4 linked regions of the Caenorhabditis elegans genome follow. The protein of the gene in region 1 purifies or fractionates together with the protein of each later gene. This does not show direct contact. Each region holds a gene or a part of one and is shown in the gene's direction. Other genes may lie near its edges. The genes, in order: eif-2beta, eif-2gamma, vdac-1 and puf-3.

Region 1 (3,423 bases):
TGACGCAAAACTGGTGATAAGAAGATTGAACCGTTTCCGCTTTTAATGATACTGCAAAAACCACCATGATAGTGAAGAAGCGGCGTTGTCACTTTGTTTTGTTTTACAAACGTTGGTTTCACCGTCTTCAGAAACAATACAAGCATACGCTTTTTTTTTCAAAAAAAAAGAAAGAAAATAAACAACAAACTGAATCAACGGTAAATATGGTTTACGATGTTAAATGTTTTTAAATCAAAATTAACAAATTTGGATTGAGAAAACTGGAGGAAGAAGTAAAATAGATTGAAAACTGCAAATTCCTATTATTAAATTCACGGAACTGGAATAAATACCGCATTTAATATTCAATACGACCTCAGAAAACCTCAGAGTCAGACACACTTAACGAATTAGAAGTATTCTAAATTCGAATAAATATATGAAATTTTACAGTTTTGAAATATACAAATCTATGAGCGTAGTAACGAAGAGAATTTGCTGTTATGCGCGGCCGTGTAGAACGAGAGAGGGTCAGAAGAGCCAAGATGAAGCAGAGAGCAGAGACGACACCGGCGACCCGAGAGCAGCAATTCGTCGGCGATATGCCTGGCTGAGCCAACGAGTCTCCGGCTGCCAATCTCGCAACACTAAGAGCTCCGCCTTTCTTCTGCTCCAACGTCCTGCAACATCAACTTCTTCGTCCTTTTCTTCCGTTTTCCACACAAAAGCTGCGCTTAGATACTCATTGTCAATCGGTGAACCAATTCTTTCCATTGAAAGGATGCCATAACGAAGCTGATTGTTGTCAATTTAGTTATCCTCCCACTCCTCCTATCAGAACTGAAAAAGCTGAGAGCAACGAGGTAGGCACGAATTGGCCCACGTCACAAACTAGTCGGATTTGTGATGCGATGCCGACGGATTTGGTTGTTTTTTGATATGAAGATTGTTAGAGAAATGTATTTTTTCTGACTATGAGAAGTAAATGGCAGTACTAAGATCATATATGGATTCGCATGGGAATTATTTAATAGCAGATTGCTTCTTTTTTTCACAATGATTTTCCGTGAGACCGGTCCTGGCTAGTGAAAAACAACGAACATTGTAACGGCAAGTGGAATACAGAGACGAGAGTATCAATTATGTACTAATCAGTTCAAAACAATACATTAAAATAGATTTTAATATTTTTGTTAAACTTAACAGCTCAAAAGGATTCAGCGAAGATATATTTTTGCTTGCCAAGTCAGTAATTTTCAAAGGTGCGTCAGAACTCGATGTTAGAGTAGAAAATACTATCAATCATAGAAAAACGATAGAAAATCAACTAAAGATATATAAAATATGTCAATAAACTCGCATATTCTAATCTTATTGAACAAAATAAATAAATTCTCATTTAGAGAACAAAAAAAAAAAAGTGTTCACTCCTCGTAAATCTCCCCCAGCCTCAAAGAGAAATCGTGGCGAGACCTCACCACAGCCATTCTTCATGCGCCTTGAAAGTTTTCTCTCATTTTTTGCATTTCGCAACCCATTTTGTCTTTTAAAATAACTGAAACGGCAAATAATCTTCAAAACTTAGTGAATAAAATGTATTTTTAAATTGTATGTATATTACGAGATTCAAAATGCCTACCTTTCTTCATGAAAATCGTTTCGCATCTTCATTTAAATGATTTTTCAATTCCAGGTTTTGTACTTCAAGCAAAACAAACAAACTATGGCTGACGATTTGGTAAAGTTAATTTATCTCGTCTTCAAATTGAATTTATATTTCTCCAGGGTCTCGATCTCGGAAAAAAGAAGAAGTCTAAGAAGGTGATCAAAATCGATGGCGATGATGCTCCTGTTGAGACCGGCGTAGAAGCTGTAGAAGATGGCTTGGGTGAGCTGATGAAGATGTGTATCTGATTGTTAATTAATCAAAATTACAGGCGAGCTAAACCTTGGAGCTAAAAAGAAGAAGAAAACTCCAAAGACAGCCGGCGAAGAAGTAGTTGAAGAGAAAGTTCCAACTCTCGGTAATATATTTTATTACAAAGTTATAAAACTATAATTTTGCACAATACTCTTTCAAAATAAATAATTATGAATTCAGAAATCGGAATTGGAGCTCAAAACTTGATCGATGCAAAAGGGGCATGGCCAGATTACACATACGAAGAAGCTCTCACTCTTGTCTATCAGGTTATGAAAGACAAAAATCCAGACTTTGCTGGAGACAAGAAGAAGTTCGCCATCAAGCTCCCAGAAGTTGCAAGAGCTGGATCAAAGAAGACTGCTTTCTCCAACTTCCTCGAAATTTGCCGGCTTATGAAAAGACAAGACAAACACGTGCTCCAATTTTTGCTCGCGGAATTGGGAACGACTGGATCCATCGACGGAAGTAACTGTTTGATTGTGAAAGGAAGATGGCAACAGAAACAATTTGAAAGTGTCCTCCGGAAATATATCAGTAAAAAATAGAAATTTCCCAAAAATTGTATATTTTCTGTATTTCAGAGGAGTACGTAATGTGCCATACTTGCAAGTCGCCAGAAACACAGCTCACCAAGGATACTCGTCTCTTCTTCCTCCAATGTACTAACTGTGGTTCCAGATGCTCTGTTACAGCAATCAAGAGTGGATTCAAGGCTGTCGTAGGAAAGCGTGCCGCAATTCGCCGAGCCGAAGAAGCTACAGCTGGAAAGTAATATTTTCTAAACTTTACTCGGTTGTTATCCGGCTTTTTATGGGTTGGTACTTCTTTCCATTTTTCCGAAATTCTTGTTTTGCTTTCTCTTTTCCTTGTTTTCCCCGTATTTATTTTTATCCAGTTTCATTTCCTTTCTCATTCGATTCGTGTTTTGAGAATAAATTCGGCATAGTAAGTGTTTCAAATTTATTGAATGATTTGTTCTCACCTTTTTAGGTATTTTCCATGTTCAAGTTTAGTCAAAGGATCCCCAATATTTCAGCACCATATGACTAACCTTATGAGTGCATTGTCAAAACTTTCACAGGCTTTGGATTCCAAAAATATTGGAGAAGTTCTTCTCGCTCTTCAGAATTTCGATGAAGAATTCAGCGCTGAAAAATGTGAAGATGTCTTCGTTAGATGCTTACAAGAAATTATTTCATGGGACTTGACGGTTTCTCTAGAAATATCTGAAACGGTAGTTCGACAAATGATGAATCGATTGGAAAATCAAGCGGTGTTGGAAGAAATGTGTAACTATATAATCAAACAACAATCATCTGTCACTGTGGAAATTGCAGTGGAGATAATGATAGAGTAGGTTTTATTTTATTCAGCTTTTGTTCACTTTTTTTACTATTACAGGCACGGCTGGATTTTAAGAACAGATGATTGTAGAGAAGTCTGGAAACAAATCGAGTCTGCGAAAAATACTGAAAAAATCGAAATTCTCGCAAGAAGAATGACTGCAAATTGTAGAA
Region 2 (5,123 bases), 5.7 Mb from region 1:
CATTTTTTTTTGCGCTCCCTGCCGTGTTTGCGTATTTTCACCGCTACAGTACCCCGAAATGCTCAAATTTTGCTCTGATAGTTTCACAAAAGTTTAAAATGTGAAGAAATCGTTTCTTTTAACACTATAAATCTCGAATTTTCACTAAACAGTTGAGAAAATCAAATCAAAATTTCAAATTTTGACGATTTCCGTTTAAAAATTTGATTCTGGCTTCAACTCTCGCCCGATCCCAACATTTTCCCTCAAAAAAAATCCCGAAATTCTGCATGCATTTTTTCGTAGGATCCGGTGATTGCGTACTTTCGCGGCTACAGTACTTCTGGCGTGTCGAGACCGGGGTTTTTTGTCGAAATAACAGCTCAAAAATGCTAATTCAAATTTCTTCAGGCAGTCGTCGAGAACGCTGTAGCCGTCGTACGCAATGACTTTGGAATCGTGACCGTCGAGGAATCCCTACATCAACTCGTATCCCATATGACGTCATCAGGCCTCTATCGTTTCCATGACACTCCACTGGGAGCCCTCGTCGTGCCGTTTCTACCCTCTAACTTTGGACCAATGTATATTTGCAAACTGACCAGATTGCAATAGATTTTTAATATTTGATGAATTTTTTTAAATTTCTAGATTTTGCTATTTTTTGTTTGTTTTTTTTAAATCTGAATTTTTAAATTTATGTCTTGTTTTAAAATTTTATTATTTATGCAGTACCCCCATGGGTGCATCTGCCGTTCCATCAGTACCTAATTTCAAATTCATAGAATTTTTCATTGATCCTTCTTGTTCGTTCTCTATGTATGTATTGCGAAATCATTTGAACAGTCGATTTTTTGGCGGGAACCTGTGTCGCCCAACAGACAGCGGTCAATTTGTATTTATTTCGAAATCGCCGAGCGTGTCTGACCATCTGCTCGCTTTCCCGTCCTTTTTCGGCTCATTGAGCACAACATTTTCGGTGGTATTGCGCCTTTTTCTATCGATTTTTAGTCCATAAAAGCAAGCTCACAATCTCGTTCTCTGTTTCAAAAATTCACATTGCAGAACCTCCCGCCGCCATGTCGACCCAAGCCGATCAGCTGAAAGCGCTCCGAATCAAGACGGGAACCGTGCAACGTCTCGTCAAAGAAGTCGCCTATTACGAGAAGCAAGTTGTGAAGGAGGAGCAGAAGGCTGCCCAACTCGCCGCCGACGCCACCAACGAGGACGAGGAGTATGTTGCCAAGAAGTCGAAGGATATTGTTAAGGTTTTTTGAAATAATCCGATTTACGAGTATACGAAATTAAAATATTTTCAGGAAACTGCCAACATGGTCCGCGATTCTCAATCACGTCTCCAAAAAGCTGTGGCCGACCTCCGTGAATCGATTGCTTCTGGGAATTATCCGGAGGAAGCCGCAGAATTCGTCAATGCGAAGACGCTTGTGGACTCCATTTCTGCTTAATTTATGATACTCTTTTGTTATTTTGGGATTTTCGGTGATTTATGATGAATAATTATTGCATTTTACTTGAATACATGGTTTATAATGCCGTATAAATAATTTTAAGAAGCAATTTCGCTAATATTTCCATACGAAAAATATACAGATGTCCGTTAATTCAACGATTTTTGCCTGGTTCGCGCTAAAAAGCAAAACATAAAATTCGAGCTCGTAAATCGACACACGAAATCGCATCGAGACCCTTCCAACCACTCCCATGCGCCTTTAACCCATTTCTAATTTTATCCAATTTTAGCCTGTTTTCTATGCAATCTTTATGGATTTTCAATTAATTTTGAGTAATTTCGATTAATTATAATGATAATTTTTTAAAGATCAATAATCGACTCAACTGGGATCATAAAAACAAAAAATATGGCTTCTGGTAAGTGTTAGCTTTTCGGTTTCAAGAAAATTTCATAATTCTTTCTTAATTTAGAAGCTGAAAAGGACAAGTGCCAGAGCTGGCTTGCGAAACAAGATTTGGACAAAGTCGGAGTCGATAATTTGAACCCACTCACCGAGGAGGTACTGAAAATCAATAATTTTTGAGTTAAAGAGTTATTTTTCAGGTTATCTCTCGACAAGCCACGATTAATATCGGAACTATTGGCCACGTAGCCCATGGAAAATCCACTCTGGTGAAAGCGTTCTCCGGTGTGCATACTGTCAAGTTCAAAAGAGAGTTGGAAAGAAATATTACTATCAAACTTGGATACGCTAATGCAAAGATCTACAGATGTTCTAACCAAGAGTGCCCAAGGCCAGGATGTTACAGGTTATAATATCTCCCTGAAATTTAATTTAAATAAATAATTTTTGAATTCTAATTCAGATCCGCCGGTTCATCAACACCCGATCGGTTCCCATGCGAGCGCGCCGGATGCGGTGGAGAATTCACCTGTGTTCGCCACGTCTCATTCGTCGATTGCCCAGGTCACGACATTCTTATGGCCACCATGTTGAACGGAGCCGCTGTCATGGACGCCGCGTTCTTGCTCGTCGCCGGAAACGAACCATGCCCACAGCCACAAACATCTGAACATCTCGCCGCCGTCGAGATTATGCAGCTGAATCATTTGATGATTCTTCAGAACAAGGTCGATATTATCAAGGAGTCGCAAGCCCGCGAAAATTACGAGCAAATCGCCGGATTTGTGCAAGGAACGGTCGCCGAGAATGCTCCAGTCATCCCGATTTCTGCGCAGCTTAAATATAATGTTGATGTAAGGATCTGAATCTGGATTTAAATATACCACGCTCTCCTCAAGTGTTCATAATTATTAGAGCGCGCTCGCGCGGCACCACACGAACTCCAGAATTCGCGGGAATTCGTTTCGCGGGGACAGCAGTTTTTGGCTATATTCGGCTTCTATGGAAATTATTTTTAATTTTTTTGATTTATAATATTGTTGAGAAGCACCATCCGAATTGAAAATGTGTAAAATTATGAAATCTGACCGAAAACTGAAGTTTTTACAGAGAGGAGTCACCACGGCTTTCTTTAAAATGTATCAGTACCGTCAGTTTTTCGAATTCAGAGTCGTAAAATATGTCATTTTGTAAGTCTGTTTCACGAAAATCCATGTTTGAAATTTTAATTTTTTAATTTCTAATATAAAAATATTCAAAAAATCAACAATTTTACGTTAGAATCTAATTTTTTCAAATTTTCAGTTTTTCATAAGAACAATTTTAAAATTTCAAACATGGATTTTTGTGAAACAGACTTTTCTCTACAAAATAACATATTCTACGACTCTGAAATCGAAAAACTGACTGTACTGATACATTTTAAAGAAAGCCGTGGTGACTCCTCTCTGTAAAACCTTCAGTTTTCGGTCAGATTTCATAATTTTACACATTTTCAATTCGGATGGTGCTTCTCAACAATATTATTAAACAAAAAATTAAAAATAATTTCCATAGAAGCCAAAAACAGCCGCCTAAAACTGCTGTCCCCGCGAATTCTGGAGTTCGTGAGGGGCCGCGCGAGCGCGCTCTAATAATTATGAACGCTTGAGGAGAGCGTGTATACTAGATTAATTGCGATTTTTCAGCTCGTTTGCGAGTATCTTTGCAAGAAAATCCCCGTGCCAGTCCGTGACTTCAAGTCGCCGGCTCGTCTCATCATTATCCGATCATTCGATGTTAACAAGCCAGGATCTGAAGTTGAAAACTTGAAGGGAGGAGTCGCCGGAGGAACATTGACCAAGGGAATTCTGCGCGTCGGACAAGAAATCGAAGTTCGCCCGGGAATCGTCTCAAAAACCGCGACCGGTCAACTCCAATGCCGTCCGATCTTCTCCCGTATCGACTCTCTGTTTGCCGAAAAGAACCAGCTGGAATACGCCGTTCCCGGCGGTCTCATCGGTGTTGGAACGAAGATCGACCCGACACTCTGCCGTGGAGATCGACTCGTCGGTCACATCCTCGGAGCCGTTGGCACTCTTCCAGATATCTTCATCGAAATTGAAATCTCCTTCTATCTTCTGAGAAGATTGCTCGGAGTTCGTACTGAAGGAAAGAAGAAGGGAGCCAAGGTGCAGAAGCTTGTCAAGGAAGAGACTTTGCTGGTGAACATTGGATCGTTGTCAACGGGAGGAAGAGTTACTGCTGTGAAGGGAGACGCCGCGAAGATCAGATTAAACGATCCTATTTGCACAGAGGTAATTCCCACTTTTTATAAAATAATAAATTTAATTTGTATTTAAATTCAGGTTGGAGAGAAGATTGCCATGTCACGTCGTTTCGAGAAGAGTTGGCGCCTGATTGGCTGGGGAACCATTCGCAAAGGTCAAACCGTTGAGCCGTACAAGAACTAGCGGCTATCATCGATTTGTTGTCTACACCGGTTTTGACATATTATTAATCTTTTCCAATTGTTTCTCTCCGTTTTTGTCTCTCTATTAGTCCAAAAAATTTTGTCGGATCCCTGTTTTGGTTCTTTTTTCTGTCCTCCTCCTGTTTCCTACTATTCCACTTCCAGTTTCATTGATTATTTTTCTTTTTGTTGAAAGTGTGCTTGGTGTTTTTTCGATAAATTATTGGATTTGAGTAAAATCTGGAAATACATTTTATAATTGCAGCAAAGATTCAGGTTTTGAAAAACAAAACGAAAAGTGCAGGCTACAGTAACCCACCTTAAAGGGAGGTTTCATTCCTTGCGCAGATGGTCTCGCCGCGATGAGACTTTTGTAGAATGTTTACGGTGTTGTAGGCCGCTAGAAAATTTTCGAATTTCATCTGAATTTCTCTTTATTTTCTCCAATTTTCTCAAATTTTTGTTCGAAAATCTGAATAAAATGTATAAAACTTTTATTTTAACGCCTCGATCGGATAAAACATACACTCTAAATGATAAATTTCAGCGATGCCGGCCCCGAAATTCATCGAAGGTCCGAACACTGTTCAAACGTCACTTTACGGCTATGACAGGAGCAAGAAAGTGCAGGTAATACTCTGAATTGTGCGATTTTTTCCACCCACTAAAACATAACCTAGTTCCAGCTGAACAATTTACGCGGGAAACCAATTATGGTGCTCCGTTCTGATACGGTCATTCCAAAAAACGAAGAAGCACCTCCACCACGAAGCACCTTCGCCAAGAAGTGGGTCGATCGCAGTCGTCATATTCCG
Region 3 (3,812 bases), on another chromosome or scaffold:
TCTGGACCCATCTGCATCTCTTTTTGTACGAATTGCAATGGAGGAAGAGTACTAATTCTCCTGCTTTTTAAACATATTTTTGAGACCAAAGCCGTTTTTATCACTACCTGTGTGTTATCTGATTACATGTAATATATGTTCTACTGCCCTTTCTTTCGCATAGTTTTGTAGTTAATTTTTAATGCATATTTTTAAAAAATTTATTGTTTTATTGGTTTATGGGTATTTACACTATATTATTTTTTAGAAACATAAACTTATTGGCGTAGTTGGTGTAGATAATCTGCGAGCCATTTCTGAAAGAGTCAAAAAAATCATGTTACTAAATGGTGTATTCGAAAACAAACAATTGGATTATCCGGTCTCTCAACTGCTACGCGAGCCAGTCCCTGGCTCAGTTTCGGCCATACTTCTACTGAGAGATAATCCTTGGCATGTTTCAGCATTGCTCTTTCGTCAATGTCTGAATATATTTTTATGGGAGAGTCAAAATTCTAACTTTATGGAATCTTACACTTGGGGAAAAAGAAAATTATATCGTGATAGGCGGCAATTGTCGTTTTTGAATAATATATTCCATCACTTGAACTCATTCTGAATTAAACGCTTGTGAAGTTTTAAAACTCTTCGGATAGATTTTTTGAAAAACCTCCAAAAGTGTGAAGGTTTCGTACCGAAACGAGACTACGGTAACGGTTATTTTCAACTGTGCGCAATGTTTTTCTTCCATTGTTTTTCAGTATTTTCGGATGTTTGTTGGTCTTTGCTCACCTCTTAGCGATCACATTGTGATATTTGGCCACTTCTTTCATCTCAATAAAAGCATTCGCTCGTTGACACAATAGTAACATGCATGGTCCGTCTATTAGCCTGTCTGATAAGTTCCAGATATCTTGGGATTCAAGATCAGCACTTTTCCACTCCATGACTTCTTCAGTTTTAAAATGCTTCACAGTTTTCTAAATAATCAGTTTCTTCTTCTTTAATTTTCATATATACAACTTACCTCTATAATCCCGAAGTTTTCTTTTGTTATGTGCTTCAGTACGGATTCATATTCATAGAAATAGTTCGGCAGAATAATTACAATTATTCTATCGACTAGGTTTGGATTTTCCAGTTGTGGCTTAGAGACTTCCGAGCGGTACATTTCGAATAGGTTAGATGCAAGTGACAGAAGTGAACTGAATTCGCTGAACCAGGTGATGCGGAAACTATTTGGATTTGTGCTCAATTTCCGGTACCATTTCCTGGTTTAACGCTAAATTTGAGATTTCTTGCTAATTTCATTTTGTTTCGTTAGTCAATATTTCTTTCATTGCATCAAATCTTTTCTTCTCAGTGCATCATTCAATTTTGAAAAACTGCCAAAATAATCCAGTACTTTTGGAAGCGGAGCGGTCGCGCTGCAGTAACCAGTCTCTGTGCCTCTCATTTTCGTCCTATGTCTCGAGACGGGCGGTCGCCGCGCCAATGTGCTTGCCTTTGAACTCTCAATTTGCTGTTGTGGCGTGATCTGTCCTTTCTCTATCGCATTCAATGTTTTCGATACCGTCGGAGTTTTATGTTACAAATGTTTGCTTCTGAATTTCCCGATAAGATAATTGTAAATCATTTAACTGAAACCCTGAATATATTTTTTGGCGATGTTGTGTTTTCTGGCGCATTGTTTATCGACTTCCTACTGCTGCCATTGAGTTGGTTTATCTCTTTCTTTCCGTTTTTCTCGTATGCACTGCTCAATGCAAACATTTTCAAAGCCTTCATTTTTCGAAAATTTCCTATTTTCCTTCTCTCGTGTAACTCTAGAATGCATGTTTCAAAAAATATTTTGTGTTTAGAAAATGGCCCCACCAACCTTCGCTGATCTTGGAAAGTCCGCCAAGGACCTCTTCAACAAAGGATACAGTAAGTTTCAATTTTATCTTTGTAGAGAGGAATAGTGTTAGGTCATTTATTCGCCTGATTAATTTTTTTCCAGACTTTGGATTCCTCAAGATCGACTCCACCACTAGAGCTGGAGACAACAAGGAGGTTGAGTTCAAATCAGCCGCTTCTCACAATATCGGATCCGGAAAGCTTGGAGGAAATCTCGATGTCAAGTACAAGATCCCACAATACGGTAAGCTCGTCTGAACATCTTATTGTCTACCCGCTAGATGGGGACAACCTCGTGACGCAGGTGATGCAATTGTATGTACTCTAAAACACCACGTGACGTCTAGCGACCGCTCAACAAAAATACAACATATTGTGTGAGAGATATCAATCATGTTGTTTCGTTTTCAGGAATCACTTTGACCGAGAAATGGAACACCGAGAACCAGCTCGGAACTGTTATCGAAGTTAATGAGCAATTCGGACGTGGACTCAAGGTCACTCTCGATTCTCTTTATGCCCCACACGCCGGAAAGAGAAGCGGAAAAGTGAAGCTCGACTGGGCTCTCCCAACTGCTAGAGTGAGTAGTCTTGTACATATTTTGGGTGATAAGATTGGCGAAGCTCGTCTCAAGCTTGACTGGAAGCATGATTGTTTCAGGGTTCGATTTTCTGAATGTAGAAATAGAGATTTCAAAAATCCATCTTTGTGAAATGAAACAAATTAGCCATTTACAGGTTACCGCTGATGTTGGAGTCACCTCTGCTCCAGTTATCAACGCTGCCGGAGTCTTCTCCCGTGACGGATGGCTCATCGGAGCTGCCGCCACCTTCGATTCTTCATCGAATAAGTTGGCAGCCACTTCTTTGGCTTTCGGACACTCCACTCCACAATACACCCTCCACTCTTTCGTTATTAACTCAACCGACTTCGGAGCTTCCCTTTACCACAAGGTTGCCTCCAACGTCGAGGTTGGAACTCAACTCGGATGGAAGGTAAACTTTTTAAAATCCTAGAACCAAAACTAAAGTGAATTTTCAGGTTGGTGGAAACGGAGCTGACTACGCTCTCGCCACCAAGTATGCTCCAAGCCGTGACCTTACTGTCCGCGCCAAGGTCAACAGCTCTTCCCAAGTTGCCGTTGCTGCCACACACTCCTTGTCTCCAGCTCTTAAGCTGACACTTTCCACTCAATTCAACCTTGCTGCCAATGATGCTCACAAGTTCGGACTTGGACTCGAATTCGATCCATCCAACTAGATCTTCCGATCACTTCCATTCTCCCATCAATAGCGTTCTTAAAATTCTTTTAGTCCTCAACCGTTGATTTTTCAATGTCGATTTATGTTCTCTAAACTTCGAAAAAAAAGAAATGTCATGCGCTATTTACTTTTCTGCTAAATTTTACAAACATAAATTATTGAGTTTCATCAGTGGCTTAAAATAGTAAAAATGATATGTACAAAACAATCCATGGGTTCTCGCGGAAAGAGGAGAGAATAACCGTTTTCTGTTTTGGAATGGAAAAGTGACATGGACAAAAAATGTAAATATTGATCATGGAACTACACGTTTTCATCGTTGGGCAGAGGTGTGTATGGTGGTTCAATGTTATTATTACGCCAGGAAAGATGCAAGTTGGTGGATGAAGGACGACGAGAGCCAATTCGTGATCCAATTCTTGAGTTTCCAGCTGTGTTCGCGTGTGTCAAGAAGAGCTCCTTAGAAGCTTCTGACATTGTGAATGATGGTCTTCTACTGGTGGCAGCTGACTTCAATAGTTCAATTTCTCCTTTCAGTTCAGTCTTATAATCGTGACGAGCGTCTGCTTGATCCAGCTTTTTCTTAAAATATACAATTGTCTCCAAGTTCGAGTTTTCTATCAAACCTGCAATAAATGCTGAACCATTGAAGCAGCAAACGCATCCCCTAG
Region 4 (3,959 bases), on another chromosome or scaffold:
GTACTTTTTTTTACAAAAATATTATAGATTTTACAACTAAAAAAATTCCAGCTTGACATTGATTATGTGGTTGGACCATTGTCATTTTGGATGCAACAATTCTCTACAAAATCTCCCGTTTCTGGCACTGGACCACAATTACCATAAATAAAATATAATAAAATACTTGTAATTTCAATATATATTCACTCTTGTCTGTATCTTTTTTTTTTTGCTCCTAAACCCACATGTTTCCTATCTATTTACTTCATTTTAGTCATGAAACCTTGTTAAACAATTTGCTATATTTTAAGGTTTTCATGTAGATTTGTAGGTTTCCCACACCCAACAAGAAATCTGATTTTTATTTTTTGGAAAAAAAAATGTACAATTAAATTGAATAAAGAAAGTTGAAGAAGTCGGCGTACACGATGCTCTCCTCTTTTGTGAGCTCTGTCAGGATTGTGAAATGATCTTCATTTTCGTATTCCTGAAACAAAAATGGTCTCGACGCGACAAATTTTTGCTGATTGCGAAAATACGTGCGCCTTTAAAAAAAGACTACTGTAATTTTCTCGAAATTTCATAGATTTTTGTTGTTTCCTCGTGTTTTATCATCCAGACGTGAGATTTTATGGGGTTTGCGTCAAAAATACCATACATGGTCTCGACACGACGAATATGAAAAGGTGTGCGCCTTTAAAGAGTACTGTACTTTTGAAATTTGGTTTTTGCGGAATTTTAAATAATCTATTTTCTTAAGAATGTGTTTTTATCGTAATATATGAGTTTTCCAAATAAAATAAATATATTTTTAAATCTACAGTAATCTTTAAAGGCGCATATATCTGTTCTCATTTAGCAAAAATCTATCGTGTCGAGACCAGGTAACGTGGTTTTGGCGTGAAACTCGTTAAAAAAATATTTTAAAAATCGTGCCAAGACCCTAAAACGGGGTTTTTTTTTCGGTCCAAAATAGCTCAAACCTTGTACTGAGCATTTGCAACTTGACTAGAAAAATCCTGATTTTGTTGGTACAACTTTGGGGATTCCCGTCTGCAACATGCGATTAACACCGGGAACCGGACATGCTTCATAAGCTCATAATCACAACTACAAGTTTCTGCTTCTTCTGAAGTCAACCCAAGATCGTGACCATAAGTCGTGGAAGTCAGTTCTTGAATTTTGTAGATGCCCGCGCTGAGGTAGGCACCACTGATTCGGGGGTCATGGATCCGTGTTACAGCTGGAAATATTTTTTTCTTTGATTTAACAAAAAAAAAGCGCTATTTTTTTGCACAGAGTGAGAATACAAGAACTTTTCATAAATTTTATTCCTGGTATGCAAAATTTATCAATCGTGGCGAGACCCATCGGCGCAGCGTCGACATGCGCCTTTAAATTCTACAGTACTTTATTTCGTTTTTGCGCGGGAAATTTTGGATTTTTTATTTTAACGCGGGATTTTTTGCATTTTGGTTCCTGATTTCTTCATTTTTGTTCATTTTTTGTCTTCGAGGACGCGTCCCAAAATTTTGCTCTCTTATTTTCATTAATTCTATCGTATTTTCCACTTATTCCGTCCATTCAAACGTCGATGTCTTCCAAAAAAATAAATTTTCAGGTAGTCTCCGTACCAATATGAGTCAAAACACCGGTTCCTCTAACCTCGGTCGCTACTACGAGAGCCCGCCAACGGCGACGGAGGCTCGTGGCACATTCGGTGGTTGCTTCAACGCCAACAGCTCCACCAACATTTGGACGCCGAATCGGAAAGTGGACTCTTCGATGGGATTTCGGAGCTCCTCACCGACACCACAGAGCGCTTGGGCTCCGAATCGTCAAGGATTTGGAGGACAATTCTCCAAATGGCGCACTTCTACACCGATGACGACTCCGGCTCGTTATCCTCAACAGGCCGTTAGACTTATCGATTTGGAGAACAACGCCTCGTTCTCGAAGTCTTTGAAGTGAGTTTAGAGTTTTCCAGTGACTTGGAGCCTCAATTTTTAAAACTTTCAAAAAAATAATCAAATTTTCAGCTCGACCACCCGCAGCCACAAATGCACACTTCCAATCTGGGCTGGCGACGGCGAGGGAAATGTCTCGGACTCGGTCACTCTTCAGGATGTGCTCGCCAACGATGCTCTCGTGGAATTTGCCACCGATAAGAATGGATGCCGATTCCTTCAGGAGCATTATCCAACGGAGAACGACAACGACGTCCACCAAAAACTCTTCCGTAAACTGGTCGAGGATCGTGCCATCTTCTTGTCGCTCTGCTCTAACATGTTTGGCAACTTCTTTGTGCAACGTGTCTTGGAGTGCTCGAACACTGAGGAGCAGGAGATTCTTACGGAGCACTTGGCTACTGATTTGTACAATCTCTGCCTTGACAAGAGTGCGTGCCGCGTCATTCAACTGGCTATTCAGAAGCTTGATGTTCATCTTGCGACTCGTTTGTCGTTGGAGCTCCGTGACACGCACCTCGTCCGTCTCAGCATCGATCAAAACGGAAACCACGTGATTCAGAAGATTGTCAAGACGCTTCCAGTCTCTTCGTGGACTTTCCTCGTGGATTTCTTCGCCGACGACGACAATCTCATCCACGTTTGCCAGGACAAATATGGGTGCCGTGTCATTCAATCGACCGTCGAAACTTTGTCGACTGATCAATATGCTCAGTGCTACCAGCATCGTGTCATTCTTCTTCGCAGTTTGATGGCTGGAGTCACTCGTAACTGCACCCAGCTGGCTTCCAACGAGTTTGCGAACTACGTGGTACAACACGTTATCAAGTGTGGAGATGCGTTGGCTGTCTACAGAGATATCATCATTGAGCAGTGCCTTCTGTATGTTTTATATAGTCAAATTTTCAAATGTATTTTTCCATTTCCAGGCAAAATTTGCTCTCAATGTCACAGGAGAAGTACGCTAGCCACGTGGTCGAAGTGGCGTTTGAATGTGCTCCATATCGCCTCGTTGCCGAGATGATGAACGAGATCTTCGAAGGATATATTCCACATCCGGATACAAATCGTGATGCTCTCGACATTCTGCTCTTCCATCAATATGGAAACTACGTTGTTCAGCAGATGATCCAGACTTGTGTTCTCGGTCAGAATGCTCGAGATCAAAAGCAATCGGAGATGTACGGCATGTGGCTCGAGAAGATTCACGGACGAGTGATGCGAAACGCCCACCGCCTCGAAAGATTTTCGTCGGGCAAGAAGATTATCGAAGCGCTCCAATCAATGTCCTTGTACTAGATACACATAGGCAATTTTTATTCATTTCCATTTGAATCCTAACCCCCACCATCACCCAACTCACGTGTATACTATTATTATTTTTATTATTATATTGCTAGAAAATTGTAGAAAGAGTATTGCAACCTCTTCTATATTATATGAAGACCCCGGCCCCCGTTTTGCACAATAATTGATATAAATTCTGTGAATAAAGAATTTACAAACTTCCAGATTTAATTGCAATATTTTGTTTAATTATTACCTTGAAATGCGAGGTGTGCTCCGACTGAGTGTCCTCCAATCACAATTTTCTTCGCATTCTTGAACTTTTTCAGAGCAAACTGGAATTTATATTTTAGAACATTTTCTGAAATATTTAAATTTCCCGCCAACCTGAACTCCTTCCAAAGCTTCAACGATCGTCTTGCTCAATACATGATCCTTGTTGGCATAGTCGTATCCCACGCTGACTACAGTGTAGCCAAGCTTTTGTGCCACGTGGACGACAGCCAAACATTTCTTTCGGTTTCCAATCTGGAGATTTTCTGTTTTTGTGTGCTCTCCACATGTTACGAGAACACAAAATTCGGAGAATGCGTATTATGTAACATATTTGACGCGCAAAATATCTCGTATCGAAAACTACAGTAATTCTTTACATGGCTACTGTAGAGGTTGTGTCGATTTACGGGCTCGATTTTCTAAATGAATTTATTTTCTCCATTTTTT

The links.
Region 2: the proteins of eif-2beta (region 1) and eif-2gamma fractionate together in Caenorhabditis elegans (co-fractionation; one large-scale study listed by BioGRID). This does not show direct contact.
Region 3: the proteins of eif-2beta (region 1) and vdac-1 fractionate together in Caenorhabditis elegans (co-fractionation; one large-scale study listed by BioGRID). This does not show direct contact.
Region 4: the proteins of eif-2beta (region 1) and puf-3 fractionate together in Caenorhabditis elegans (co-fractionation; one large-scale study listed by BioGRID). This does not show direct contact.

What each region holds. Positions count from the first base shown.
Region 1 is NC_003279.8:8,026,045-8,029,467, reverse strand, and holds eif-2beta (Eukaryotic translation initiation factor 2 subunit 2), read left to right. Parts: upstream 1-1,675; 5' UTR 1,676-1,705; coding exon 1,706-1,720; intron 1,721-1,767; coding exon 1,768-1,870; intron 1,871-1,919; coding exon 1,920-2,006; intron 2,007-2,083; coding exon 2,084-2,440; intron 2,441-2,487; coding exon 2,488-2,678; 3' UTR 2,679-2,853; downstream 2,854-3,423. Other genes in the region: C54G4.9 (RAP domain-containing protein), read left to right, coding at 2,949-3,259, 3,308-3,423. UniProt on the Caenorhabditis elegans protein: Component of the eIF2 complex that functions in the early steps of protein synthesis by forming a ternary complex with GTP and initiator tRNA.
Region 2 is NC_003279.8:2,311,452-2,316,574, forward strand, and holds eif-2gamma (protein-synthesizing GTPase), read left to right. Parts: upstream 1-1,819; 5' UTR 1,820-1,859; coding exon 1,860-1,869; intron 1,870-1,923; coding exon 1,924-2,012; intron 2,013-2,056; coding exon 2,057-2,262; intron 2,263-2,319; coding exon 2,320-2,710; intron 2,711-3,544; coding exon 3,545-4,153; intron 4,154-4,204; coding exon 4,205-4,309; 3' UTR 4,310-4,541; downstream 4,542-5,123. Other genes in the region: 5-cytosine rRNA methyltransferase nsun-4, read left to right, coding at 391-594; tbca-1 (Tubulin-specific chaperone A), read left to right, coding at 1,059-1,247, 1,299-1,445; ekl-7 (PEHE domain-containing protein), read left to right, coding at 4,858-4,938, 4,989-5,123.
Region 3 is NC_003282.8:7,505,921-7,509,732, reverse strand, and holds vdac-1 (putative voltage-dependent anion-selective channel), read left to right. Parts: upstream 1-1,841; 5' UTR 1,842-1,844; coding exon 1,845-1,908; intron 1,909-1,981; coding exon 1,982-2,122; intron 2,123-2,289; coding exon 2,290-2,459; intron 2,460-2,616; coding exon 2,617-2,874; intron 2,875-2,920; coding exon 2,921-3,139; 3' UTR 3,140-3,312; downstream 3,313-3,812. Other genes in the region: plc-4 (Phosphoinositide phospholipase C), read left to right, coding at 1-55; R05G6.5 (Uroporphyrinogen-III synthase), read right to left, coding at 258-296, 348-463, 515-594, 772-959, 1,007-1,150; Putative sodium-dependent excitatory amino acid transporter glt-6, read right to left, coding at 3,445-3,723, 3,768-3,812. UniProt on the Caenorhabditis elegans protein: Forms a channel through the cell membrane that allows diffusion of small hydrophilic molecules. Plays a role in maintaining mitochondrial morphology.
Region 4 is NC_003282.8:13,509,807-13,513,765, reverse strand, and holds puf-3 (PUM-HD domain-containing protein), read left to right. Parts: upstream 1-1,603; 5' UTR 1,604-1,620; coding exon 1,621-1,949; intron 1,950-2,021; coding exon 2,022-2,831; intron 2,832-2,878; coding exon 2,879-3,248; 3' UTR 3,249-3,459; downstream 3,460-3,959. Other genes in the region: m7GpppN-mRNA hydrolase dcap-2, read left to right, coding at 52-147; afmd-2 (Alpha/beta hydrolase fold-3 domain-containing protein), read right to left, coding at 371-469, 966-1,225, 3,493-3,571, 3,624-3,764.